7 linked regions of the Rattus norvegicus genome follow. The protein of the gene in region 4 interacts with the protein of the main gene of each other region in a biochemical or structural test. Links are inferred from orthologs where the notes say so. Each region holds a gene or a part of one and is shown on either strand. Other genes may lie near its edges. The genes, in order: Ube2d2, Prkaca, Ubqln1, Ube3a, Ube2e1, Actbl2 and Faf2.

The links.
Region 1: the proteins of Ube3a (region 4) and Ube2d2 form a complex in vitro, tested with the Homo sapiens proteins (12 studies listed by BioGRID, with this or other methods). The link is inferred for Rattus norvegicus from reciprocal best matches to the Homo sapiens genes UBE3A and UBE2D2.
Region 2: the proteins of Ube3a (region 4) and Prkaca form a complex in vitro, tested with the Homo sapiens proteins (2 studies listed by BioGRID, with this or other methods). The link is inferred for Rattus norvegicus from reciprocal best matches to the Homo sapiens genes UBE3A and PRKACA.
Region 3: the proteins of Ube3a (region 4) and Ubqln1 form a complex in vitro, tested with the Homo sapiens proteins (2 studies listed by BioGRID, with this or other methods). The link is inferred for Rattus norvegicus from reciprocal best matches to the Homo sapiens genes UBE3A and UBQLN1.
Region 5: the proteins of Ube3a (region 4) and Ube2e1 form a complex in vitro, tested with the Homo sapiens proteins (2 studies listed by BioGRID). The link is inferred for Rattus norvegicus from reciprocal best matches to the Homo sapiens genes UBE3A and UBE2E1.
Region 6: the proteins of Ube3a (region 4) and Actbl2 form a complex in vitro, tested with the Homo sapiens proteins (2 studies listed by BioGRID). The link is inferred for Rattus norvegicus from reciprocal best matches to the Homo sapiens genes UBE3A and ACTBL2.
Region 7: of the proteins of Ube3a (region 4) and Faf2, one has a biochemical effect on the other in vitro, tested with the Homo sapiens proteins (2 studies listed by BioGRID). The link is inferred for Rattus norvegicus from reciprocal best matches to the Homo sapiens genes UBE3A and FAF2.

The regions. Positions count from the first base shown.
Region 1 is NC_086036.1:27,636,928-27,641,198, forward strand, and holds the start of Ube2d2 (ubiquitin-conjugating enzyme E2 D2), read left to right. Parts: upstream 1-1,471; 5' UTR 1,472-1,875; coding exon 1,876-1,899; intron 1,900-4,271.
Region 2 is NC_086037.1:41,073,190-41,076,689, forward strand, and holds part of Prkaca (cAMP-dependent protein kinase catalytic subunit alpha), read right to left. Parts: exon of another isoform or gene 2,328-3,500; intron 2,322-2,327; coding exon 2,260-2,321; intron 1,907-2,259; coding exon 1,778-1,906; intron 1-1,777.
Region 3 is NC_086035.1:6,464,940-6,468,439, reverse strand, and holds part of Ubqln1 (ubiquilin-1), read right to left. Parts: intron 1,654-3,500; coding exon 1,391-1,653; intron 51-1,390; coding exon 1-50. UniProt on the Homo sapiens protein: Plays an important role in the regulation of different protein degradation mechanisms and pathways including ubiquitin-proteasome system (UPS), autophagy and endoplasmic reticulum-associated protein degradation (ERAD) pathway.
Region 4 is NC_086019.1:119,204,648-119,208,947, reverse strand, and holds the start of Ube3a (ubiquitin-protein ligase E3A), read right to left. Parts: upstream 2,801-4,300; 5' UTR 2,295-2,800; intron 2,290-2,294; exon of another isoform or gene 2,204-2,289; intron 2,162-2,203; exon of another isoform or gene 1,764-2,161; intron 1-1,763. UniProt on the Homo sapiens protein: E3 ubiquitin-protein ligase which accepts ubiquitin from an E2 ubiquitin-conjugating enzyme in the form of a thioester and transfers it to its substrates.
Region 5 is NC_086033.1:9,919,042-9,922,541, forward strand, and holds part of Ube2e1 (ubiquitin-conjugating enzyme E2 E1), read left to right. Parts: intron 1-2,576; coding exon 2,577-2,709; intron 2,710-3,353; coding exon 3,354-3,500. UniProt on the Homo sapiens protein: Accepts ubiquitin from the E1 complex and catalyzes its covalent attachment to other proteins. Catalyzes the covalent attachment of ISG15 to other proteins. Mediates the selective degradation of short-lived and abnormal proteins.
Region 6 is NC_086020.1:44,589,992-44,594,190, reverse strand, and holds Actbl2 (beta-actin-like protein 2), read right to left. Parts: upstream 2,801-4,199; 5' UTR 2,680-2,800; coding exon 1,549-2,679; 3' UTR 53-1,548; downstream 1-52. UniProt on the Homo sapiens protein: Actins are highly conserved proteins that are involved in various types of cell motility and are ubiquitously expressed in all eukaryotic cells.
Region 7 is NC_086035.1:9,963,542-9,967,041, forward strand, and holds part of Faf2 (FAS-associated factor 2), read right to left. Parts: intron 2,323-3,500; coding exon 2,237-2,322; intron 2,155-2,236; coding exon 2,063-2,154; intron 313-2,062; coding exon 135-312; intron 1-134. UniProt on the Homo sapiens protein: Plays an important role in endoplasmic reticulum-associated degradation (ERAD) that mediates ubiquitin-dependent degradation of misfolded endoplasmic reticulum proteins.

The sequences.
Region 1 (4,271 bases), on a different chromosome or scaffold from region 4:
ATGGCTCAGTTGTTAAGAGCACCGACTGCTCTTCCCAAGGTCCTGAGTTCAAATCCCAGCAACCACATGGTGGCTCACAACCATCTGAAACAAGTCTGATGCCCTCTTCTGGTGTGTCTGAAGATAGCAACAGTGTAATCATAATATATAATAAATAAATAAAATATTTAACAAAAAAAAGAAAACAACTATTTTATTTTTATGTATGTATTTCTCTGAGTGCACATGAGTACAGAGGCCATAGGTGTTGGAAACCCTAGGGCTGGAGTCACAGGTAATTTTAATTCTGAGGTGGGTGCTGGAAACCAACCTCTTATCCTCTGCAAGAGCAATGTGTACCGTTAACCATTGAACAATCTCTCTTGTACCTAGAAACAGCATTTTAAAAAAAAAGTTTCCCGAAATGGGCTCAGTAAAATACATGTCATCTTTTTTGAAGTTACATTCGTGAGGGTAAGTACTGCCTGCGTGTGTACCTGTGCTTGGATGCGGAGGTCACGGGATAACTTGGAATAGGTTCTCTCCTTTCCTCAAGTCGGTCTCAGGGATCCAACTCAGGTCACCAGGCTCAGCAGCAAACACCATCACCCACAAAGCTATAGACAACTCCTATTTTGCTTTTTAAGTACAAAAATGTCATCATCACGAAAAAAATTACAAATCAGACATGAAGGCATTTTTGTGCCTCTTTCTTCACATTTCAAAAAGACTTGGGCCTACATAATGTCCCTCCTCATACAGAACCTCTAACTTACAGATTCTGTGTGACTGACTAACTAAGGTTTTTGCCTTTGGGGGTCCACCTCTCTAAGGAGAGGTGATCGACTTTGCCACTTGTTATGAAACCTTGCCAAAAATCCTTTTTGTATTTCTTCATTCTACACGGCCTATTTCCTAACGCTAACAAGTCAGTGGTTGCGTATATAACATTCGAGTCATGTCCAGCTGAGGTCTTTTTTTGCGGGGGACGGGCAGTCTCAGGGCTCCCTGTGCAAGCAAGTTCTAGGACCCTCTTTTTTGGGTGGCAGTGAGGCTGAAGAGTTGTGTGACCTTAGAAAAGTCCCTTTCTTTTTCAGGAAAGTGACAGTCGGATTAGTTACTTCCAAGTCTGATGGTGATTAAACAATGTGGAAAACCCGTGCCTTTAAGCGTTTCTCGTTCTTTGAAGGCGCAGGCACACAGGGTACCAGAAGCTGACTTCAGGCCTTGGCGGGAGGAGGGGGCGTCTAGAACCCGCGCCTAAACTCTCGCGAGATCTCCTGCCTCGCGACGTCATCCCCTCTGCGGCTGTGCCTGCGCCGGCGCCTGCGCAGGCGCGTACGGTACTGGCAGGGGCGGCCCGTATCCCTCCGCCGCCGGCGCGGCCCGGCCCTCCCTCCCAGGCCCGCCAATCCCGGAGCCTCCCGACCTGTCCCTCGGTCTGGGCCCACCCCGCGCTCCGGCAGCCCCACCCCGGCGGCGCCGCCCGCCCGCGCGTCCCTTAGTCCACCTGCACCAGGCAGGAAAGCAGGCTTCCCTGGCTTCGCCACCGTAAGTCGCTCGGCGATCCTGGAGCTTGGGGCTCTTCCTCCCAGGCGGAGGGATCCACGGCAGCCGAGGAGGCGGCGCTGAGCCTACGAGGAAGAGGCAGGCTACGGCGGCGGCGGCTGTGGCAGCAGCGCATAAAGGGGCCGCCGCCGGGTGATGCGGTGACCGCTGCGGCAGGCCCAGAAGCTGAGTGGGCCTCGGCCCTCAGCTCGTCGTATCCGCGCTCCGGAGCTCCCCGTTCTCCGGTCGACTCGCGACCGCTCGGGCGGTCTCAAGCCCCTTAGCCCCTTCCCCGTCCCTCCCCCGTCCCCGTCCCCGCCCCGGGGCCAGCCGCCACCGTTTCCCACCATGGCTCTGAAGAGAATCCACAAGGTAAGCGGCCAGGGGTTTACTGTGGGAATGGGCCGCTGGGCGGGCCCGCTGAATAGGCTGCGGCCTGCACTTCCCGCGGTCGCCTCCACTGGGCTCGCGGCGTCTGGTTCCTTCTGCCGGCGCCGGCCCCAGGGGGCGGCCTTCACACCCCACTCCCAGAGATGGCGCCCAGGGAGGCCCGGGCACGGGGCCCTTGCTTAGGCCGAAGTTGCTCTTGTCTTCGCAGCCTTCATCCCCGACGCCCTTCCAGGCCTCCCTTCAGCCTGAGACTTGATGCTCTCTGGGGCTATTGTCCGGCCGAGAAAGGACTTGGGGCGGCGTAGGGCGGGTGGGGGGCAGGGGTGGAGCGGCTGGTAGTTGGGCGGCCCTGTGATCCGAGGTCGATAGGACTGCTCGCCCAGTCCGTCCCCCTACTCTGGCGCCCTTCAAGAGCTGCCTGAGATCGAGGACATAGTCAGGCCGACCAGAGGGCCCATTTGCTCGATCCACGAATGTTCTTTTGAGTTCACTTAACTCTGGGTCAGCTAGCTGGTCACGAAAGTCCACCTTACTGGTCTAGAAAGTGGAGTAGGAAGTCCGAGGTAAGAAAATGCCACTCGGGGAGAGGAGGGAATTAAGTGGAGAAGGGTTTTATTCCTTGGGATTGGTGTATGTCTTCAGAAACTAACCCTTCAGTTTTGCAGGATTGGATCTAGTGGAACAACTGGTAGACAGTAGAAGCCATTCGGTTCAGAAAAAAACCGAACTTTGAAAACCGCCAGAGAAATCCCTTTCACAGATTTCTCCCAAAATGATTTTAATGCTGAAATTAGATGCAATGTTCGAGAAGACTCCCCGATTTAGAAGGGATTTTGCTCTATTTTTGGTTAGAAATAATTTCTTAACTCTTTTAAGTGAAAGGTTATCCATTTATTTAATAAATAATGAGATTTAACACTGTGGAGAGCATTGACTTCGATTCAAATTTAGGGCACCCTGATGTTAACTTCTTAGTATCACTTAGTGATACTTTTCTTTCCTCTTGGAAATAGGAAGTTACCCCCTGATGAGTTTTGCTTGGTGTTTTATTTGGCTCCTCAGATGGGCTATATTAAATCATTATCATATGAGTAAGTGGCTGGACCTGGGATTACCCCTAACGACCGGTGGGATAAGAATGCAAAAGAATGGAGGATGAAGTAAACACAGAATGACGAGTAGACTGTTCAGTAACTGGTCCTCATTTATTCTTCATTCAAGACCTTGTGGAATTAATTCCTTTCCTTACTGTGAATTAGCATCTTACAACTTTTGTTTTCTTTGATTTCTTAGAACTCAAAGGGCAGACTTTAGATAGTAAATCTTGTACTAAAATGAAGGGCCATTGCTCAAGTTTGAACTTTAACGAAAGAAAAACAGTGTAAGGGATAAGAACAAAGTAAAAGATAAACATCCAAGTAACATGTATATATATATTTCTAAGACTTTAGTAGTCTTTATGGAGTCTAATTGAAAGTTACCAGTTTGAATAGTGTTGAGTTAGACCTGTAAAGAATGCCTACCAAAGATGGGGAAAGGGGAGTTTGGTTTGTGATAATTTGTAGAGATACTTCTTTTTTAAAAGGTAGAGTCTCACTAGCTCTGGCTGGCTTGGAACTTTTAACTCTGGCTGCCCTCAACTCCAAGACCCACTTGCCTCTGTCTTTGGAGTGCTGAGATTATACCATCAAGTTAATAGCTTTTAGTGTTTATATTAATATCTGTGCTATACAGACTTCTTCAGAGATGACACTGACTCAAAACATACATTTAAATCTTAGAATAACATTTGTCCTCCTAATATAGTTTCTGTTGCTGTGTTTTGTTTTGTTTTCTCTTCTCTGTGTAACAGCTCTGGCTGTGTGCTGGTCTCAAACTCTCAAATCTGCTTGCCCCTCTGCCTTCCCAGTGCCAGGAGTAAGTGTGTGCATCACCACAGCCTTCTCCTGTTGCTGTTTTTGAGTTAGGCTGTCACTGCTGGTATTGGTCCTGAGTCCTGGGATTCAGGCATGTACCACCACCACCATACCTGCCTTCACATCTTTTTGTATAGTACTAGGGATTGAATCCAAGATCTTACACATGCTAAGGCAAACGCTCTACTCCTGAACAATATCCTTAGTTCTTGTAAATCTTTTTTTAAAAATCAGGTTTAAAAATGATCATTTGACCTTAAAATTGTGTGTGTGTGTGTGTGTGTGTGTGTGTGTGTGTGTGTGTGTGTGTTTCAACCACAGCCCTCATGGGAATGTGAGGATAACTTGGTAAAGTCTCTCCTTTGACCTTTCTATGGGTCCTAGAGATTGAACTTGGGTTATCCGGTTTGCCTTTACCAACTGAACCATCTATATATA
Region 2 (3,500 bases), on a different chromosome or scaffold from region 4:
GGTGGTTCACAACCATCTGTAATGGCATCCGATGCCCTCTTCTGGTGTCTGAAGACAGCTACAGTGTACTCACATACATAAAATATATAAATCTTAGGAGAAAAAAAGGAAATCTGTGTGCTTGTATGAGCATGGGTGTGTACACCATGGTGCACGAGTGGGGACCAGAGGACAACCTCAGATGTTGTTCTTTATCTTCCCTCTGCTTAAGGGCAGGACCTTGTCTGCTGCTGCATCTGACAGGCTGGCTGCCCTTGAGCTCTCAGGAACTGCCTGTCTCTGCCCCATCTCCTAGGAAGAGTGTGATACACGTGGGTGCTACTGTGCTGGGCTGTGTCTGCTCTGGGAATTGAACTCTTCTCTTCATCCTCCAACTCACTAAAGTCTTTTCTTTAAATTCAATTATTTTGTCTGTGTGTGAGTGTGTATGTGTGTATGTGAGTGTATGTGTGTGCATGTGTGTGTGAGTGTATATGTGTATATGTGAGTGTATGTGTACGAGTGTATGTATGTCTGTGTGAATGTGTGTATGTGTGAGTGCGTGTGCGAGCATGTGTATGTGTGTGTGAGTGTTGTGTGAGTGCGTGTGTATGTGTGTATCTGTGTGAATGTGTGTATGTGTGTGCGTGCGTGTGCATGTGTATGTGTATGTGTGCATCTATGTGTGTGTATGTATGTGTATGTGTGTGGGCGTGTGTGTGTGTATGTGTGTGTGAGTGCGTGTGTATGTATCTGTGTGAATGTTTGTGTATGTGTGTGTGTGTGTGTGTGTGCATGTGTGTGTAGGTTTCTGGGGATTGAACTGAGGTCATCACGTGGGGTAGCAAGTGCCTTTAACTCACCCAGCCGTCTCTCCAGTCCTATCTCTACCTGGACCTCATTTTTTGAAACAGGGTCTTTCACTGAACCTGGAACTGGTTATGCTTCTTGGCCAACAGGACACATATACACACAAAGTTTAAACATTTAAAAAAAAAAAAAAAAACCTTCTATGCAGGCCAGGCAGTGGTAGCTTGTGCCTTTACACCCAGCACTTAGGAGCAGGGGCAGGCAGACTTGTGAGTATGAGGCCAGCCTGGGCTACATAGCACTGCACAGGGAAAATTTTTGTCTTGGAAAACAAACAAGCAAGCAAACAAACAACAAAAAAGAACTTCTGTACTTCTTTCTGTGCAAACCTTTTCTGCAGACCACCCTGATCTCTGTCCAGCTGCAGATTAACCACAGGGCTGGCTATGTTGAGGAACGAAGGCCCTTCTCACCCTGGGGTCTGATAGATCGTGGAGCATCAGGGGATATGAAAGTGACTGAGTACCCATGAGGACATGTTCCAAGCCACTGCTGAGCACAGACGGCCAAGTCTGCAGAGCTGTGGCCTGGGTGCACGGTTACTCGCACAGACCCTCACACCCTCTTCCACTTTCTCCCTCTTTTGCAGAGGTGAGGATGGAGTCCAGGGCCCACCCCAGCAGTAGACAGTAACCACTTGTGGATCACTTACAACGCTTAAGGAAGGAAGCACACATCCGTCCCTTACTCTCTGGACTCAGCACAGTCTTTTGCAAGTGGCAAGGCCAAGTTGCCACTGGACCTTTCTAAACCGGCGGACCGGGGAGGCTTCCACTGCTAATGTACAGTGAACTGCATGTATATTCTTGTGGAGCTCTTGGAGCTGCCAGCAGTGAGCGCAGAATAAATGGGCAGAAAAGCAATGTAGGTGGTGGTGGGCTTGGCACGGTGGGCAGAGACAGGAAGGCCTGGCAGCTGGTCATCTTACCTTCTGCTTGTCCAAGATCTTCATGGCATAGTGGTTCCCACTTTCCTTGTGCTTCACGAGCATCACTCGCCCAAAGGAGCCGGTGCCAAGGGTCTTGATTCTATCAAAATGATCCAACTGGGCTGTATTCTGTGGGCAAGGATGGGAGGGGTCAGGGGCACCTCCCTGCAGCCTTCTAAGCTGGGGAGTCCCCTGTGTCACCGGCAGAGGGGGCTCTGGGGAGTGGGTGGAGATGACCCAGGGGACATTCTTCCAGGCAGGGTGGCAGAGGCCAGATCCGGCCCTGGCCTGGGGCCCAGGAGCTGCTGGCAGCTGCATGGGGAGCAGGGGCTGCCAGGTGCAAGGATACAGTGAGTAAGGCCGGGCAATGAGAAGCCCGGGGCACCGTGAGCAGTTAGAGGGAATGGGGCAGGGCTGGGTGGGGCACACAGTGACCAAGCTGGGGACTGTTGCCTGGGTACTACTTACTCTGAGGTGCTCACCTGAGAAGGGGTCTCCCATTTTTTCAGGAAATCTTCCTTGGCTTTGGCTAGGAACTCTTTCACTGAGGGTGAGAGACAAAAGTTAGGTGAAAAGTCCTTGCTTCGAGGCACATTAAGTTTTTCCACTCTAGTAGAAAGTGGGGTACAGCTGTTTCAAGCCAGAATCTGATATTTTACCAATGTCTTTGGGGGATCCCAGAGGCAACCTGGGACATTTTGATTGGACTGGGGCCCAATATTCCACTAATTACAGAGGTATCAGATTCTGGTAACACTCGAAGAGGGTACATAGGCACTTGGGAACACAGGACCGAGAGGCACACAGGCCAGCCCACCCCGCTCTCCCCAGCACTGACTGACATTCCTTGGCCAGGGTTGTACCAGCTGAGGTATTAATAGCCTCTGATCTGGCTGCTCCTCTGTTGAGGCCGGGCCCTAGTGAAAGCCTGCAGGGCTAGTGTAGCAGGTGCCCTTGGTGGGCTCAGCTGTCACCTTGGCCTTTGCTGGCTCTGTGCCTGCCTGTGCTGAGGGGAGAATCCTCGCCTGAGCTGCTTCACTGGGTGCTTCCCTTCAGGCACACTCCTCCCAGGCGCCTACAGCATTCTGAGGCCAGCATCTCAGCTCCTAATGTAGAAGCTGTCCCTGGTGACTGGCTGGGGCACCCATTTCATTCTCTTATTTGATTTGTTTGACCACCTTCTTTACATCTGTTTTAACCACTTAATAACTCAGAAAAATAAGGCCTGAAGACAGTTCACTGTTGTGTGTGGCTATAGAGGCAGCTGGGGTCAGGACTTCAGGGTGGGAACTCAGAGTCTCTGTCTGGATGCTGGCCAGCTGTATGTCTTGGGACAACTCATCTCTCTAGGTCTGTTTTCTCCAGGAGCAAATGGGGATAAAACCATGACGACTTTGTAGGGTGCTGGTGGGACGAGTCCTAATTCCACATTGGCAAAGGAGCTGGGGCAGTGGTCTGGTGCCCTGGTGCCAGGTTTGTGGTATAGAAATGCCAGCCGTTCTTTCTAATGGTCAATCTTAGCCGGCAACTTAACTATATCTGGAATCAGCTAAAACCCCAGCAGTCAGGCATACTGGTGAGGGGTTTTCTCAATTGGATTATTTGAGATGGGAAGACCAGCCCTAAATCTGGGCCATACCCCCTGGTGACAGCCCACATAAAAGGCCATGGAAGAAGGCAACTTTGCCCTTTGCCTACTTGCCCTCACTCGCACTGGCACTAG
Region 3 (3,500 bases), on a different chromosome or scaffold from region 4:
TTTCTCATCATTTCCTGCATCATCGCTGGGTTTCTGGCAAGTTCCAATGTCTAAGAAAGAAATTTCCAGTTTTAAAAAAAGGCACTGAAATATTCAAGGAATTCATTCTACATTCAGTCAATGCTTGTGGGAACCCACAATTGACGTGGATTAGCTCCTGCACTGAGTCTCAGGAAACTGAAGGGAGGCACCTGTGCCAAGTGCCAGGCAGCCACACTGAACTTTTAAACTGCTATTTTGAAAAATACGAAACGGGGTGTTCTAGTCACTGAGAGTCAGCACCACAGCTCTGTCAGGACCGAGACTGCCTGGTGCTGCCGGCCTTGGCATCTCCAGTTGTCTACCTGCTGAAGGCCTAACCTCGTTTGCTCAGTTCATGGAAACACGGGTTCTATTTAAAAGGATGAGGTGTCATCCAATTCTAGAATCAAAAAGGCCAATTAAAAGTCTTAAACCAATTTTGCTATATTTAAATTAGTAAAGTACTTCTTAAAATTCCCAGTGGATTTTATCTCTAAATACGACATTTATTTATAGGCTATCACAAAGTAAACAGGCCATTCCAAAAATGGACTTTTAAGTTTCTTAAGTTTCTTAAATCCACAACCCCGACCCCAACCCCACAATTTTTGAGACAAGATTTCTCTATGTAGTCCCTGCTGTTCTAGAACTCACTATGTAGACCAGGATGACCTTAATCAAACTCAGAAGAGATCCTCCTCCCTCTGCCTCCCAAGTGCTGTGTACCACCATACCCAATGGTTTTATTGAAAATTTTTTCATTAAATTTTTCTGATCCCCTCTCCTCAGAACTGTTTTCTGTTTTGTTTTATCTGTGTGAGGAGCAGGGCACTGATATCACCTCTCTAGCCTGCACTCTAGGACCCACCCTTCTCTCCACCCCACAGCACTGAGGAGAAACTGGCACAACAAGCCTATTTTCTAAGGCGGGCTTTAAAGAATTTTCAAGCATAGCAGAACATTCAGAGTTCAAACAAACCAAATTAATATTGTTTTGCTGACTTTCCTTAAACAATGGTTGGGATTCTCTTTAATTTTATAATAAATACACAATTCAATTTCTGGCACCACAGAAAATAACATTTTACACACACACACACACACACACGCACACGCACACACACACAATTTCACACACAGACACACACACACAGAGAATACACACACGCGCACACAGAGTACACACACACATACAGTACACACACACATGCATGCATACACACAATCTCACACACAGAGTACACACACACATACAGTACACACACACACTCACACATGCACGTGCACACAATCACACACATATAGTACACACACACACACACACGCGCGCGCGCGCGCACACAGTACACACACGCCCCTTCCTGCGCACCTGTCGCATTATGTCTGGGTTATTGAGCATGTGACTGATCTCTGGGTTTCTCTGTATCAGCTGCTGCATCTGTGGGTTGGCCATGATCAGCTGCCGCATCAGGTCAGGGTTTGAGAGCATGCTCTGCACAAAGGGGTTTTCCATGATCTGGACCATCATTTCAGGGTTAGACAAAAGTTGCCGCTGCATTTGGCTCTGTAGTTCAGAGAAGTTGGTGGTATTTAAACCCAAGCTACTAAGACCTGCAAGTCCTCCAAGTCCACCTTAAAAGAAAAACAAAAATGGAAATCAGAAGTTTGTGCTAAAATATGAAGAATCATTAACTCTATATTTTAAAAACCATTCAAACGAAACAATTCCTGCCACCCACTTATATGGCGTTATACTCACTATTATACTATCTAATTCCTATGCTGTAGCTTAGATACGAAGTGTTGCCCCTAAGCCTTCATCCTCAGCTGGTGACACATGAAGGTGATCACAACGAGCTCCTCGTAGCTCAGTGGGCTATTCATGCAGTGCATTTGAAGGGACTTCCTGCTGCTACAGATAGGGGACTTTTCTATGTGTATTAGGAAGACGTACTTGTACTCCCAGACTGGACACAAATCTGCATGTGCACCCTAATAGCCTACAACACACACTGCTAATGCTTTGTTCAGAGTCAATCTCACCCACAGCAGAGCAGAAGCTCTTGTTAATATAACCCTGATACCAGCAGACACTAATTATTCTGTTTTAAGAACTGTTTGAACCTAGACACCCCCGGAACAGGGAATGAATGAAAGGGACAGCGGCAGCATAGGAACATTTCGCACAGTCTCAGTTGCTGACCATCTGAGCAGAGGCAAACCTGAGCTCTCAAAAGGTCAGTCACCTGTTTCTGTTCTCCCCAACCCCATATCATTTGCTGGCAGAAGGTTACATGTGGCCTCCCCGGATTACCAGCTCTGAAATAAAGCACAATCTATAAACTTAATCTGCCTCTTCTCATCTGCCTTTGGGGCGGCAGGCAGAAGCTTCGAGACAGTAGCTGCACTGAGAGAAGCAGCGCTCTGCTGTACCCTCCTGGCCCACCAGCTGAGACACCAGGTGCCAAGACAGACTTGCCCCTCCCCCCACTGCTGCTTCACAGTGGACAGCCCCAACCCCAAACACATCCTACAATCAAAATGTGTCAAATTTTCAACTTTAATATGTAATAGAACCAGGGTTGGGGATTTAGTGGTAGAGCGCTTGCCTAGCAAGCGCAAGGCCCTGGGTTTGGTCCTCAGCTCCACAAAACAAACAAACAAACAAAAAATAAAAACAAAAAATGTAGCAGAACCAACCAGACATATTTTTTTAATCTCTCTAGTATAAAACAACATATTTATTCCTTCTTGATCTCTCACAGGGTTCCTAAAAGCCTAGGTGGTCATTTGAGGGCTTTCTTCTGTCTGTCATACACAGGTCACTGCACTGATGAGGTTGGACTGAGGGCGCCCTGGGGAGTGACAGGAAGAGGACGGAGCTGGAGGTCAGAAAGCCTAGTGGATTAAAGGTGAAACCTTCAGCCCCATCCACCAGTCCTGAAGGGGAAGAAAAGCAGCTGGAGGCTCTTCTCTGTGTAAACTAAAACAGCGCTCATTTATTTATCGTCCATCCGTACTGCGTTCTAAACGTGTGCACTATGTATTGGCATACTAGAACTGAGTCACCACAAGGTTTTCATGGAAAGGGTGTGTTCCTAGGATGTGAAAGCGAGACCTAAGGAAAACTGCTAGCTACAGCCTTAGGGCCGGTGAGGACACTGAAGCCCAACCGGTGTCACCTTCAGAACACCTTTTCTCCACAAAATCTCAACAACTGCAAGTGAATAAAGAATAGAGTGTGGGGAGAGGCTCAGTGTGAAGTGCGTGCACAGGATGCGGGAGGGGTACGACGGGGAGGACGCAGGGAGGAGAGGAAAGCGGCTTCACTGCTGATGCTCAGGACACAGTTCTTTCATGTGCTTAGGGCATTTTCAAGATTTTTTTTTAAAGTATTAGAATTAATTATTTATTATTTTGTGTGTATGAATGTTTTGCCTGTGTGTGTTATGGGTACCACATGCATGCCGGTGTCCCCA
Region 4 (4,300 bases):
AAGTACTTAGAAGACCATCGGTTAAAATTCAAACCCAGTTGCAAAAATCAGAACACTTGATGTTTTAATAGCTGCATATACATGTAATATAAATCCATTAACAGTAATTTTATCATTAATAACAAACATAAACCTAAGTAGAATAAATGGTAATATACCAGTAACCATTTAAGGTTTTATTTTTTTAAAGGACATTTGAAAAAATCATCTTAAGCCCTTGAACAGAAAAAAATTAGCTATGCCCAATGGAAAAAAAAAAGTTGATAAAAATTGAGAGAAACGATTACAGCAATTTTTGAGGGAAGAGAGATTGACATAAATGTTTAAGATATACAACTGAATAAAATTAACATGTCAGAGAAATTAGTCTCAGATGAAAATTACATTTTCTATTTAAAGCCATAAAAAGGGCAAGTAGCCAGTCCTGGTGGTATACAGTTTTAATTGCAGAACCCTGGAGACAAAGCCAAGAGGAAAGTTACAGGTCATCCAGTGGAGTACCATTAAGACCCTTTCAACAAAAAAAAAAAAAAAGAACGAAAAAATGGTGATGGTGGATATTTCAGAGATTAAAAAAAGCCACCTACAAAACCTGCATGCAAAAGGGATTTTTTTTTTTTTAAACTCATGGTTAAGCTCCTCAGGTATATGAGGAGCAATACCCAAAGAATTACGTGTGTATACCACTCCACAACACACCAATGCAAGGTAAATATTGACACAAATACTTCACAGCTTACTTACATTCTGATTCTGAAAACAAAGCTACAAGTCATCTCATCTTTATTATGTGTTGTATCTTTCTTAAAATATAGACTGCAAATTGATGAAGTTCTCATTTTTATTACAGATTTTGATACATGGCTTTTTTGTAATGCTAAGTATCTATGGATTTACAGTCATACTTAGGCTTATCAGCAATACAGATGCAATATCCATTCCCTTAAAAGTGCAGTAAGCAGATTCTACTTAAGAGAATTTAATACTAAAGCAGTTTCTGTCATACATAACAAGACAAAATTTTCCTTTTATCTCTCCTAAAATCTAAATCTGCATGATTTACCAAAAAAAAAAAAAATCTTAAGTAAAAGTAGTCACTAATCTGGGATGTGACAAAAAAAAAACAAAAAACAAACAAAAACAAAAAACAAAAAAAAAAAAAAAAACACTTGTCATGTCACTTGTCCAACAAGATTTACTAGGTCTTTGAATATTTAGCTTTTTAACAGCTATATTTCTCCCCCACCCCCTGCCCCACAGCTATATTTCTTAAAGTTCAGGCCATCTTCATTTCAAACGCACTTCCTTCTCCAAAGCATTTTAACATAATCTGCTGCTTCTCCCAAAACCCTGGGTTATACGAACATCCTTTGCGACATTAGATAATTGTGGATCACACATCCCATATACTATTTGGTTAACATTTGCAACAGTACACTAGCTACTTAATACAAACCCAAAGAGATTTTGTCTATTTCAGTATCCTCAAAAGACATAAAAAAAAATTGACGTAAAATTGTCTTTAGAGGATTCTAAATGTGAAAAAGTCTTATTAAAATTATATTTTTTATTTTTAAGGCTAACGCAATTATAGCACATTCAACTCTGACTCTTCCAACAAAAAGCCTCCGCATCAAAATGGGGAAAACGTCCTTTTCATTTTCTCAACTGAAAAGGGGGAGGGGAGAAGAGGAGGAGACCAACTGCTTACAGGTTTGCATTTAAAATTAACACAGCAGTTTCTGAGGAATCCAGTAACTCACGTTCAACTACTGAATCCTACCAGACGCAGCACACGAATAAAACCACAGCGCAATCCTTGGGCTTGATGTGCCGCTTCATCCGTCTTCCTTCCAATCCACCCCCTACAATACCCCAACCCACTAAGCACACTTCTAAATATGTCTTCCCCACCAGAGCGCCCCTTTGGAGGAAAAGGACTTCCTTTTGCAGCCTGAAGCCACGGCTGGCTCTCCGATCCCTGCTTAGATGAGGCCCCAATCTCGACGCCCTGCACGTCCGCCCCACCCCGGGCCCACTCGGGTACCCGCGGGTGACAAAACCCTCCCTCTTGCGCTCAGCCAGCACTGACAGTTAAGGCTGCAGCAGCCGCAGCCACCAGGGCCTAGTCCTGGCACCGGCCCCTCCAGACCACGCGCCCAAGCACTCGCTCACGGAGGCGGGTGAGGGCCCAGGCGCCTACCCTGTCAGCGCGGCCTGGAGGGTGACGAGGGGACCGGCGGTACAGACCAGAGGGAGCGCGCCGGGCAGGCCGCGGCCGCAGCAGCACTGACCTGTCCTCGCCCCCGCGCGTGGGCTGCGGCCCTCGCAGCTGCGGCCGCCTCACTGGTCCTTGTCGCCCTCGTCCACCGCCGCCGCCCGCCACCGCCTCGTTCCCTTTCGCTGGCGCCACCGCCGGGTCTCATGCGGGACCCGCGCTTCTCCTCAGGAAACTGAGGCCGGGAGGCCGGGCGCCTGGGCAACCTTGAAGTCGGCGCTGAACGGCTGCTGCCGCGATCTGTCCACGGTGGGGGGCGAGGGTGGCGAGCAACTCCGAAGAGAAGCAGAAGGAGGCGCCACCGTCCGCGACTGGTCGAACGAGGAGAGTCGTGATGAGGCGGTGAACAGCTGCGTGGCCCGGTGCGCGAGCGAACGCAGGAGGGGCGGCGAGGTACTTGCGAAGACGAAAGGCCCTGTCGTCTCCTGTAGTCACCCAAAGAGGAGCGCCACCATCTTGGGAGAAACACGGATCTCGCGAACGAGGACGAGAAGACTAGGTGGGCGGACCGAGTATCCCGACAGGCAGCGCGCGCCACCCTGCCGGCGGAGGGCTCCAAGTCCGGAGGCGGGAGACTAGGCGAGCTCGCGCGTGCGTGGGACGACGACTGTCTCCGCCCCGCCCGGATTGCATCTCTGCAGGGCCCTACTCTAGTTCGCCTTCGCTCTTGGCGCGGGTGCCTTTGGGAAAGGGAGATGGCTTTGGGCTAGGTGGAAGCTGGCCAGCACGGTCGCCATCTTGAGACAGGGCTGAGAGAGGCTTGGTGTTTTTAGCCTATGCTCCTTTTACCCAATCTATAGACCATTGTCTTCGGTGTACTCGGGAGAGCTGACAGGGCTAGCCAGCCGAGGATAGCCTCGGAGTCAGAGGGTCGAATAGGCTGAGAGGGTATTGCCTACTGGCAGAATAAAGAACCTTAGAAGTATTTAGTTGTTATGGCTGACCCCTACGACTTTTTTGCAGGAACCCGAGAGTGAGCAACCTTCCAGTAAACAAGGTCATCCGCTTAGGCCTCTGCCAGGACAGGATTTGTCACTGGTTTACCAAACTAGTAGGTAAAAGCCTAACCAGTGGTGTCTTCCAGTAGATTGTCAACTGAGTGAATCCCTGCTTGATCCCACATGGATAGAGACTAATTTTGATATGCAGAAGACCTGAACTCTTTTAGAGCCATGTGACTTCTTGGTACCAAAGTGATGGTTTACTTAGGTTTTTTGCTGTTGTTGTTGTTGTTGTTAATGGTTTTGACACTCAAATTATTACAGACTGGCTGACACGTTATTTTCTGGCTTGCAACTTTGTAAGCCTTAATCATCTAGTACTCAAAATGTAACAATCACATGTAGCAATGTGCTTTTCTGTTTCTTGCAACTCCTATAAATGGATACATATACATCTCCCCACTATAAACAGCTATTTTTGGGTTTTTTTGTTTGTTTGTTTCTTTGTTTTTCAAAACAATTTCTCTCTGAAGCCCTGGCTGTTCTGGAGCCCACTCTGTAGACCATTCTGGCCTTCAATTCAGAAATTCACCTGCTTCTGCTTTCTGAATGATGGGATTAAAGGCTTGCTATTTTTTAAAACTTAAAAAATAAGCAGGGGCAGGAGGTGTAAACTATTGCACGAAAAATAAGTGCAACTGTTCAGTCAGATTGTAAGATACTTTAAAATTTTTCTATTCTTATTTTTTTTTCTTCATTAAAAATCCTCATTTGGAATACCATTGTATTATATGAAAAGAGCTAGTAACAAATGTAACCTTTTAAAGAGTTATCTTTGCAAATTATTAAAATACAAAACCAAAACGAAGATCATTAGACTACTAAGAAAAGTAAAGTATTGCAGCGGAAAGATGCTTTCAGCTATTCACTTCTAAATAGAAGTTGTCTGGGAAAAAAAGGAAATTTTCTAGTAAGTAATGTGAATTGTCAAAATATAGCCAACACCGCAGAGTTCTAAAAAGCTTAAAAGTTTGAAGGATATAGATATCCAAATGCCAATCAAGTTCTATACGGAGATCGT
Region 5 (3,500 bases), on a different chromosome or scaffold from region 4:
TCAGCTAAAACCATTTATCCTTTCTAAGCTTGACTTGAGCTGTGCTCACAATTGTCTCTACTCCCTGACCAACATTATTCAAGAATCCAAGGCAGGGCTTCCCAGCCTCAGGACTGCTGGGATCTGCGGCTGGTTTAATATGCGTTGTGCTTTGTCAAGTGCACTTCAGGGTGGTTAGTGCATCCCTGACCTCTACCTGCCAGGCACTAGAGTGCCCTCCATCCCAGCTGTAACAATCCAGAAGTGACCTCAGAGCTGGGGAAGGTCTGAGGCTGGCCTCTGGCCCTGGCAGTCTTCGCAGTCTTGCTCTTGGGGGACTGAGTCTTCACTTTTATGGAGTAGCAATCAGATCACGAATGTCAGAAATTGCTTGGGCTCTGTTTTGAAACATGGATATCAGGGCCCTTTTCTCTACTCTCACTTCCTGCTGATGTCTACCTGTCTACTTTCACAGTCCTTTTTTCAACCCTAGGAGCTCAGTGTTTTTCTTAAACAGATAATTGTGTTCTTGATTTTTTTTAAGTGTAATGTTGGGTGCGGTGGCTCCTGACTTCAGTCCCAGCGCTCTGGAGGTAGAGATAGATGGGTCTCCAAGTTCAAGGACAGCTTGGTCCGCATGTGCATGGAAAGTGGGTTCTGTCCACCACATTGACTCTTCAGTCTTGCCAGCCTGACAAAGAATAGTTCTAGATGGCAGTTTGGAATGGTGTTGACTGCATTTTAAAGGGCTTAGCTTTCCTCTATCAGTTTGGGATGAGGCATCCAAGACCTAAGTGCTAACAGTATTAGTGTAGTGAGGAACATTTCTTAATTTCCAGACAGATGTCTTGTTTCACTATCCTCAGGGGGCAGGTAAGAAGCTAACATTCTGGTGGTGAGGTCTGTTTTAAGACACTAAGCTCATATATGACTTCTTGACGTAACTGTCCCCAAGGGCCCAATCTCCCTTCTAGTCACCATCCTACTGTAGGTTAAGCAGGGGACACAAACAAGCTAACCTTTGATAATTGAGAACCCATTCTGTTCTTAGTAAATGAAGCAGTAAAGGTAACATCTTTTTCCAGAGGAGTCAGAGTCTATTCCTAGGATAGGGCTGGTTAAGATATTGTTGGAGGCTGGAGAGATAGCTCAGCACTTAAGAGCACCCGATTCTCCTGCAGAGGATTCAGTCAGTTTCCAGCATCTGTGTCAAGCTACTCGCAACCACATGTCACTCCAGCTCCAGGGGATCTCATGCCCTCTTCTAACTTCTAAGATCAGGCAGTGTGTGCTGGGGGGCGGGGGGCATGCATGAGTGCACACACACACACTCTCACTCACTTACTCACTCTCTCACTACATAAATAGAAGTAAATCATCTTTTAATCTTTCCCTGTACTACACCTTGTGATTATAAAGAAAGCATTATACTCTCTAGGTCTCAGAATCGGAGGGTAAGCTTTTTCACTCTGTTGCTAAGGTGCTTGAATACAGAGCAGTGGAAGCCAATGCCATGTTTTAGAAGGATGATGTAGCCAAATGAAGGTACAACCAAGTATGTTTAACAAGAACGGGTTTGGTTAATGGCTAGTAAGAGTCCATGTCTAACACTGAGTGAGAACGGATTACGGACTTGACATTCCCCTCTCACTCAGTTTTTATAAGGTAAGAAGTATAGTCACCAACTTGGAATGACCCATGACCCAGCATTCATGGGAGCTGAATGAGGACTGTGACTTTCAAGACAGTCCGAGCTACTCTGTCTCAGGGGACCAGAAGTGGAGGAGTGTAACGTGATCTATAGCTAAAGCAGTTTTGAGTGTGTGTGTTTGTGTCCACATGTGTACACGAGGAGGCTGGAAATCAATGCTGTACGTCTTTGTGTAGAATTTATCAGCATCACCAGGGTCCAAACTTTGCTAAGCACTTTAATTAAGGAAAAGATTCTGGTTACTTAAAAGGTTCTAAGAAATGATGTAGCCATGAGAAAACTTGTCACTGAGTCAAAAATGAGGACATGATCACTCCTAGGTATGGTTGAGGAGGAGGTCTTATTGTAGATAAGAGGTGAGAACAGGCAGAGACATCTGGGAAGTCCAGACTGAACCTAACTAGCAGACTGGATGGGGAGGAAGGAAAGAAGGAAGGTGGGGCGAGCTGACCAAGAGGGAAACCGGAGGTGTGGACCAAAGGAGCCATAGCCAAGATAGCTGAGCAATGGCGAGAAGATGGGGGAGGTGGTTAGCATGGGGCCTGGTGAGAAGCGCTGGCAGGAGCCGGTTACTGAGTGAGACTTGTCCTGAGTTTCTTCAGAGCAGAGTAGCCAGCAGCTTAGCTTCCGAGACACGGATCTTTATTGTTGTTTCCCGTACTACGTCTGAGAGTTGAGGAAAGTGTGTCCAGCTGTAGCTAGTGTGTTTAGAGTGGACCTGGTGTTCTGTCATGGCTTACTTGACTGGTGGACAATGTCTTTATACCAAAATCTCCTTATGAAGAGAACCAGACATTAAACTCAAAGGATGAGGGGAAGGGGTTTTTTCCTTTTCTGGTCCAGCATCACCATGTCTTTATCTATCTGCTCGTGTGTTACTTCACAGTGCTGGTCCCAAAGGTGACAACATCTATGAGTGGAGATCAACCATTCTGGGGCCTCCAGGGTCTGTGTATGAAGGTGGAGTCTTCTTCCTCGACATCACTTTTACACCAGAGTATCCCTTCAAGCCTCCAAAGGTAAGGAGTCTCCTGTGTCTTCTCACATTTAACTGTCCTTGAGAAAGATTAAAGTTTTCAATGTACTCACAAAAGCCAGATTTCTTCCACGTGTGTGCTGCTGGCCACTGACGCCTCCTTACCCAGTCCCCTCCATGTTGGAAGAGCTGTGTGGACTGCGGTGCAGTCTAGATCTGCTGTGTAGGTCGGAAGAGCTTAGCTTCCTGCTGTGCAGTGTTTGCTAGTGTAAGTGAATGTGATGACTGGTGATTGGTCATAGGCATTTCCAGGGTAAGTACTTAAGATTGCTGTTTATAGCTTCTTAGACTTAATGACTCCGGAGCAGTGTGTTCCTTCCAGCTAACACAAGAGGCCAGCAGACAACCAACAACTTAGACCTATTGATGTCTAAACATTAAAACTAAGCCAGATGCTACTAGTCACACATATGTCATCCTACAGTCTGGAAGCAGAAGCAGAGGGGAGGATCAAAAGTTTGCAGCTAGTGTGGGGTACACGGCACCAGGATGGCCTGATGGAGAAGGGAGGAAGTGTGGACTGTTCGCCTCGAGCAGTGGTCACTGCTGTAGAGTGAGATGGAGGGGTTAGCCTGAAGTGTCCTAATGCCCCTACCTGATGCTGCTTAACAACTGCCTTACTTTTAGGTTACGTTTCGTACAAGAATTTATCACTGTAATATTAATAGCCAAGGAGTTATCTGCTTGGACATATTGAAAGACAACTGGAGCCCAGCACTAACCATCTCGAAAGTCCTCCTCTCTATCTGCTCACTCCTTACAGACTGCAATCCT
Region 6 (4,199 bases), on a different chromosome or scaffold from region 4:
TCTCGTGGGAAGGAGTGAGGGAAATAACAGGAAATCCAAAACACAAGCATGTTGTCATTTTACTTTAATGAAATTAAACGAAAAGCAAGCTTTGTAAAATAAAGTGCTTTTGCAGATTAAACAATTACATCAACTGATAAAGGAAATAAGGAATAATCAAGTTATTTGGAAAGTTCTATCTTAATCAAAATTGGTTAAAGATTCCAAATTCACATGTTTAAACACAAGAAGTTTCCAAACTAATATGAAAAAGAAGATATTCCTCCCTCCCACTGGTCTAACGGTATCTTCTTAAGCAAATAAGCAGATAAATATCTTAACTTTTTAGATAAAAACATAAAAAATACAAATTACCCTGATAACCAAATACAGAAATCACATCATAAATGGAAGCAGATATGGTCATACTAAAAATTTGTTGTTAAATCACCACTGGATTCATGAAAACATCTCAAACATTGTAGGAAGAAACACTAGTATGTTTTTTGAGACACTGTCATCTCAGAGATACATAGGTAAACACGTGTTGCCAGCCACTGGATGTAATAAAGTAAAGAGCTACAATAAAATCTTTCCGAGAACTTGCTCGAGGTTACTGAACGTCTACGACCACTTACTGTTTGCTAAGAGACTGGTGCTGCATTCCCCATAGTGACGTCCTTGCCTAAGAGGAATGTCCAGAATCAACCCTTAGATATTGCTCAAGACACATTATTAGGCTAAGAGATATGAATAAAATTATTCTTGTCACCCTGTGGCAGACAAAATGAACTCGGCATCACAATATCTTTCTATGTAGACAGTTAGGCATCATCCATCGGTAGGTTTGCTGTTTCGTGAGTCTGATGAAGTTCAGTAACTAAGTCATTAAGATGTACTTGGCCAACAGAATTCCACCTTGACTTGGGAATTTATTTGATTTATACACACCAATCGAATGGCAACCGTTTAGCTATGCTTATGTGATAAGGCAATTCCTTGAAATACAGAGCTGCTGAAACGTTGGCTAGAGAATAAGAACATTCACAGAAGCTGCTCGGCCAAGTACATATTATGTCTTAAGATGTAATACTTTACCTTCCTGATGCATAAGTGGATATAGAGGATGGACCTGTGTAGTTTGTTATATCCATAGAAAGAAGTAAATAAATACAGAGAATTAATAAGACATAGTTGCTAGACTTTTATATTGCAGATCTGTAGAGCGTTGTTGACCATTTTAGCAAGAACTAGATCTAAAGCTTGCATATTGTGGTTATGCAGCCTGAAATTCTTTTCTCATGACCTTACTCCTTGTCACCCATTTTCATGTAAGCAAGCCCACATTTCTCTGAGCCTCACGGGCATAGAAAACAGATTATGATGTCAGATTTCCCTCAGCTGCTAAAAAGCTCAGTGTGGTTAGCTGTGACAGAGCCCTGGATACTTGCATGGAGATGTAGATTTCCTGGCTCTAATGCTCAATAAGAAGTAAATGATTTACCTTAATTTTCCTGGGTGAGGTGGGTACCATCGTTCTGACCTAGGAAAAGGGACCTGGTAGCTCATTTAGAAGCATTTTCTATGAACTATAGGAGGACCGGCTTCATCGTACTCCTGCTTACTGATCCACATCTGCTGGAATGTGGATAGGCTGGCGAGGATGGAGCCCCCAATCCAAACTGAATACTTGCGTTCTGGGGGAGCTATGATCTTAATTTTCATGGTGCTTGGTGCCAAGGTTACGATTTCCTTCTGCATCCTGTCGGCAATGCCCGGGTACATGGTGCTGCCTCCAGACAGCACAGTGTTGGCATATAAATCCTTGCGAATATCCACATCACACTTCATGATGGAGTTGAAGGTTGTCTCATGGATCCCTCTGGATTCAATACCTAGAAAGGAAGGCTGGAAAATGGCTTCTGGGCATCGAAAACGTTCGTTCCCAATGGTGATCACCTGCCCATCAGGGAGCTCATAGCTTCTTTCAAGTGAGGATGAAGCAGCTGCAGTGACCATCTCCTGCTCAAAGTCCAGGGCCACATAGCACAGCTTTTCTTTGACATCCCGCACGATCTCCCTCTCAGCTGTGGTGGTGAAGTTATAACCTCGTTCTGTCAGGATCTTCATGAGGTAATCAGTCAGGTCTCTGCCTGCCAGATCTAGTCGTAGAATGCCATGGGGCAGAGCATAGCCTTCATAGATAGGCACAGTGTGAGTGACGCCATCCCCAGAATCCATCACGTTACCTGTCGTCCTTCCCGAGGCATAGAGGGACAGTACGGCTTGGATAGCTACATACATGGCAGGTGTGTTGAAAGCCTCAAACATTATCTGAGTCATCTTCTCCCGGTTGATTTTGGGGTTGAGGGGTGCCTCGGTGAGAAGAATAGGATGCTCATCCGGTGCTACACGGAGCTCATTGTAGAAAGTGTGGTACCAGATCTTCTCCATGTCATCCCAGTTGGTGACGACTCCATGTTCAATGGGATACTTCAGGGTCAAGATGCCTCTCTTGCTCTGGGCCTCATCTCCCACATAACAGTCCTTCTGGCCCATGCCCACCATGACCCCTTGGTGTCGTGGACGCCCTACCATGGAGGGGAACACAGCACGGGGGGCGTCATCACCCCCAAAACCCGCCTTGCACATCCCTGACCCATTATCTACTACCAAGGCACCCAGCTCATCATCAACCATGGTTGCTGGTTGCGATCTTCCAGATGCGTGAACAGAAGTTAAATAGAGGTGAGTTCTAGACTATGATGTGCAAGACAGAGAATGGATACTCAGAACACTTCAGAACCGCCCTTAGAGAAGAGAGTCTGGACCTCAAGCCCAGGTATTTAAAGGCACATACTGTCTCCACCCATGTTCTTTCCTACCAGTTCTCAGCATTTCTGGGTGGGGCTGCCTTTGAGGTACTACTAATGATGATAATTACAGAAATCATTAGTAGGCCTTCTTTCATAAAGAGAAAACTGGCTACCAAGTGGCTAAGTCTCAGGGGGCTGTAATTAGGCATCCCACACAGTGCTGCCGGTCTGCTTGGTGGGGTCTCTAGATGACTGTGTGATGCAGAGGGAAGAGACAGAGCTAGAGACGGAGTCGCTGTCCCTGCTCCTCTCCAGCATGCACTCTGACTGCGCTCCGCTTTGACCTTTCGGTTTTGATATGTTATTCAAATGAAGAGTCTGATTCTGTCTTAACGTTTTTCTTTCCCATTATTATAAGATGTCATCTTGACAGAAGCTATTTTAATGAAAGAAAATAACGAATGGCCTCGGGTGGCCTAATGGCTTTAATCAGAATGTACTTGTACCATGAAAAATGTAGAGTATTTAATTGACTTCAAATCCACCAGGCCCAAGTAAAAGCAATAGGGGATCAATAAAGAGAGCCACTATATATTTTTCTGACATACTATCTAATAACTACATTATATTATTTATATTTTCTAATAACCAAGTTTATTATTATGCATTCATTGTTCATAGGTTTCCCGTGCTAATGTTGACTGCACAAAAGCAAAATGCCAATGTTTTTGAGTGGTTTATTTTTAAAATACAAATTATGATAATTTTATTCACAATAAATTTTTATAAATTAGTTGAGTTACACAACAAACAACTTAGATGATAAGATAAGGTTTTAAATTATATATTTGGGTACATATTGATCTTTTAAACAACTGAATTTTCAAGATGCATATATTTTATTACTACATCAAGCCCATCTGTGATTGACACATCTTGACACAATTGGTACAATATTGCTTTCTTCTCATTTAAAAATATACTAATCACTTCAGAGAAAGTTTATTTGAATTTAATGTTTAATGTAGAAATACAGACACCTTGGTAAATGTGTGTCATGATGATCATAGGACAGGAAGAAGTGAGAAACCATCAGCTACCATTGTTCATAAATTCTAGTCGCAAATGTGTTAGGTAAGTAGGATGGTAACTTATTTGTCTCTCTACCCCTTTGCCCCCCACTACCTAAGGCAGTTGGGAAAGCTGACCCAGGGTTATGAGAGTGGGAGAGCTGGGCCATCCTCTTGCTGGCTGTAATACTTGGAAGATGGTCCTACTCTTTGACTGGGCAGGACAGTGGGTGCTGGCTCTGGAGGCATGAGTGTGGGTGAGCCAGCTCTGAGGCATCCCGATGAGAAGCCAGTATTGATGGTGTCACAGAAGACAGAGGCTTCAAACCAGATC
Region 7 (3,500 bases), on a different chromosome or scaffold from region 4:
CCGCATTCTGAACTCTCCTTCAACATGAAGCAAAGGCTTTGAAAGTGCCCAAGACAAAGGAAAGTAGTTTGTGGAGCCCCAAGTCAGTTGTCCAAACATCATCTGTCTCTTTCCAGAAAAGAACCCCCTAGTACCTTTCTAGGCGTTCTGACACCAGGTAAGTCTGGTTTGCATCCATAATGAACGTCAACTGGTTGATGAGGTCATCAGGTTGAATGAGGCCTTCGAGCCTTCCTACCACAGTCATTCGCCGGTCCTTCAACATAATCATAGCCAGGAATGGATAGGTGTTCTCTCGTAAAGCCTGGGAGACTGACACAGAGACCCAAGAGATCAAGCATAAGACTTGGGATGCAACAGACCAATCCTCAGACGTATACTCTTGGATGGGAAAAGGGAAGGTGTCATCTCTTCTTTTTCTACTGCTTTCTTTCTTTTGTAATAAGTAACTGATGGAAACACACTTAGAGATTTCTGTCTGTCTTATGTATGTCAGTACTTGTCTCATGGACACTTGAGCATCACATGCATGCACGGTGCCTGTAAAGGCTGGAAGAGCGTCAGACTCCTTGGAACCTGTGAGCTGCCATGTGGGTGCTGGGTAATGAACCTGGGTCTTCTGGAAAAGTGGCCCATGTCTTAACCGCTGAGCCATCACTCCAGTTCCTCTACAGTTGTGTGCAGACATTAGAAGATAGCTTTCTGGGGGGTTGGGGATTTAGCTCAGCGGTAGAGCACTTGCCTAGCAAGCGCAAGGCCCTGGGTTCGGTCCCCAGCTCCGGAAAAAAAAAAAAAAAAAAGATAGCTTTCTAGAGTTGGCCCTCCTCTCCCACCCTTTTGGATAACCAAACTCAGACTCCCATTTCATCAGCCTGGCCTGGTCTCCTCATTTTTTTCTGTCACAAGTGTGTATTCCTGAACTGAGTGAGGTGAGTGCTTAGAGCAGCAGGAGGCTTTTTCGTAAGTTTCCGTCATGCTGGGAAAGGCCTCAAGTTCTAAGACGCTGTCTCCTGAGTGGAAGAGAAGGCTCTGCAAAGACTCTCATGACCGCTTAGGTATAATCTCTCCAAATGTGCAGAGCCAGGGCCACCGGACACAATGCTGCTGTTCTTGGCTGCATGCTGGTGGCCGTGGTTTTCTCACCACATATGTTCCCCGTCTTTTCCTCCTCATCTAACTCCTCCCCTACCTCATTTTCCTAGTCTTTCTTTTCCCTTAGCAAGGGTAGTTTTTCTGCTCCAAGTAAAGTTAAAAAGTTGGTCTATAAATAACCAAAATTTTACTATGATACAATTGCATCTATATTCTTATGCTATGAAAAAGAAATTGTATCCTTTGTGCCATCTATCTGCTAGCCCCACAGAGCCATATTAGAACACAGGCTGCCGAAAAATACCACATGTTCATAAATCAATTAGGAGTAAAGATTTAAAAGACGCAGGAGAAACAGCTACAGTATATTTGGTTCTGAACACCAGGCACTGATGCCTACCTAGGTGTTAGCACATACAGAGGTTGCTAGACAAAACGGCTACAAAATGACTGTATTTTCACCACTGGGTATGTTTGTATTGTCTGATGGTTTCTGAAAACACTGATCTCTAACTAAGAGTTGCTGCCAGAAAGACTGAACTCTCTGTACCCACTGCCAGCGCTCTAGCACTCAACAGCAAACTCATTCCAGAGTTCTGTTGAAAGCCTGGGCAGAGAAGAGGAATGCCTATCAAGAGCCTGTTAAAATTAGACAAAACTGACTTAAAATGAGAGTCTCTGGCAATGGTTAGTTATAAAGAATGGGCCTTAAACTCTGTCTGCCCCAGTCAAACCCCAACCGTATGCTAACTGTATGCCTGGATCTGTCTTAAGCTCTCTGCGATTGTTTCATCCATCTCAAGGAAGAAATAATACAACAGTCATCTCTCAGACTGCTGACAAAATTAAATGACTTCAACTAGCATTGCGTCTACCACAGAACCACCACCTGAGTGACAGCACAGCATGTTTCTCCAGACTTCCCCAAGGATATTCTGACCTCTCACTAAGGCAGCGGAACACAACTTACCCCTGTACCCCTCCGGTTTGTTTGTAGAACAAGCCCAAAAAAGCATCCGGCTGTTTATCAGCGAGATGACCTCAGGTGCGCAGAGAGCATTGCTGTGGAACAAGACAAGACAGCGTGAGAGTAATCTGCCAACTATACAAGTCCGAGAAGAAAGAAAACGACTGGACTACTTACCGGCAGAACTCATCAGAGTCCTGGTGGTCATCCCCATGAAGATAAACCAAAAGAAATCGAAGTTCCCGCTTGGCGTCACTAAGTGCCTTTGAGAGACAAAAGACCACAATTCACTACTAAGATCTAAACTACTGTTCAGGCTAAGGGTCCAGATGAAGGTGACTATTGACCAACATTAGCAACTAGAAAGAGGGGAGGGAAATGGGGTTGCAAGGGAGACGAGACTACATACTTCCCGGGCTGCTGCCTTTGCAGCCACCCTGGCATCGCCCTCCTTACAAAGCCCAAGCCAACAGCGTTAATGAAAAGCCTGTCGTGCTGTTAGACCTTATGCTGCATCAGGCACATGAGGTCGAAGGAGTGACACAAATAACTCCTAACGGTCTCAGAAAGTCAGCTGGTACCATAGTTTAAAGGTAAAACAGGACACTGTGACTATGTAAAAGCAATTTTGCAGCTACAAAATTCTTTCCAATAAAAAATTAGCTACAAAAAGGAGTTGGATCCAGCAAGTGGACAAGCAAGCAGGAAGGACCAGGGCACCCACAGGTACCCTGAAGAGCACAGGGTTCATAAGATCTTCTGAGACAAAGCAAGTGTCCATGAGTCTTGTCACTTAGGAATGGTATGCTCCTAACTGCCTGTAATTCCCAGGATGGCTAATGTACTCTACCCTCAAGGTCACCCAAAGAACAGCTGTCCCCCTCATCCCTGCTATCTGCAGCCCTGAGCAGGGTGTCTAGCTGTGTATAGCAGGTATGCGATGTGTGCTGAGTAGAAAGCAGCAGCCAGCATGAAGATCAACTGTGAGAAAAAGCAGATGTGGGTAAAGCAGAAGCAAGAGTGAGCTGCCTCTCCAGGTAAGAATCAGGAATTCCAGACACTCCATAAGAGCCCCTTTAGCACATGTCTGTGCTATTCTTTACTGTTCTCTGACAAATTCTATATGCCTACAACCCAGTTTTCCTCCCGAAAGGAGACAATGAAAGGTCTCTATGGCTTAGTTTGAATCAAACGAGCTACCCTGGGCCTATGGTCTAAATCCTATTTAGGTCTGTCAGGAATCACAACAAGGTCAGCTTCTGCCTTGAAGGTGTGTACAGTCTGATAACACAGCAAGACGTGAGCACAAGTCAGGTAAGGAGGAAAGTCAAGTTGCTATGAATGTAAAAACAGAGGGTGGAAAACAAAAAGGAAGATCAGTGCTTTTGAAAGCAAGGCAGGGCGAGAGAGGGAAGGAATGGAGTGGTTAGGAGAGGGCAGT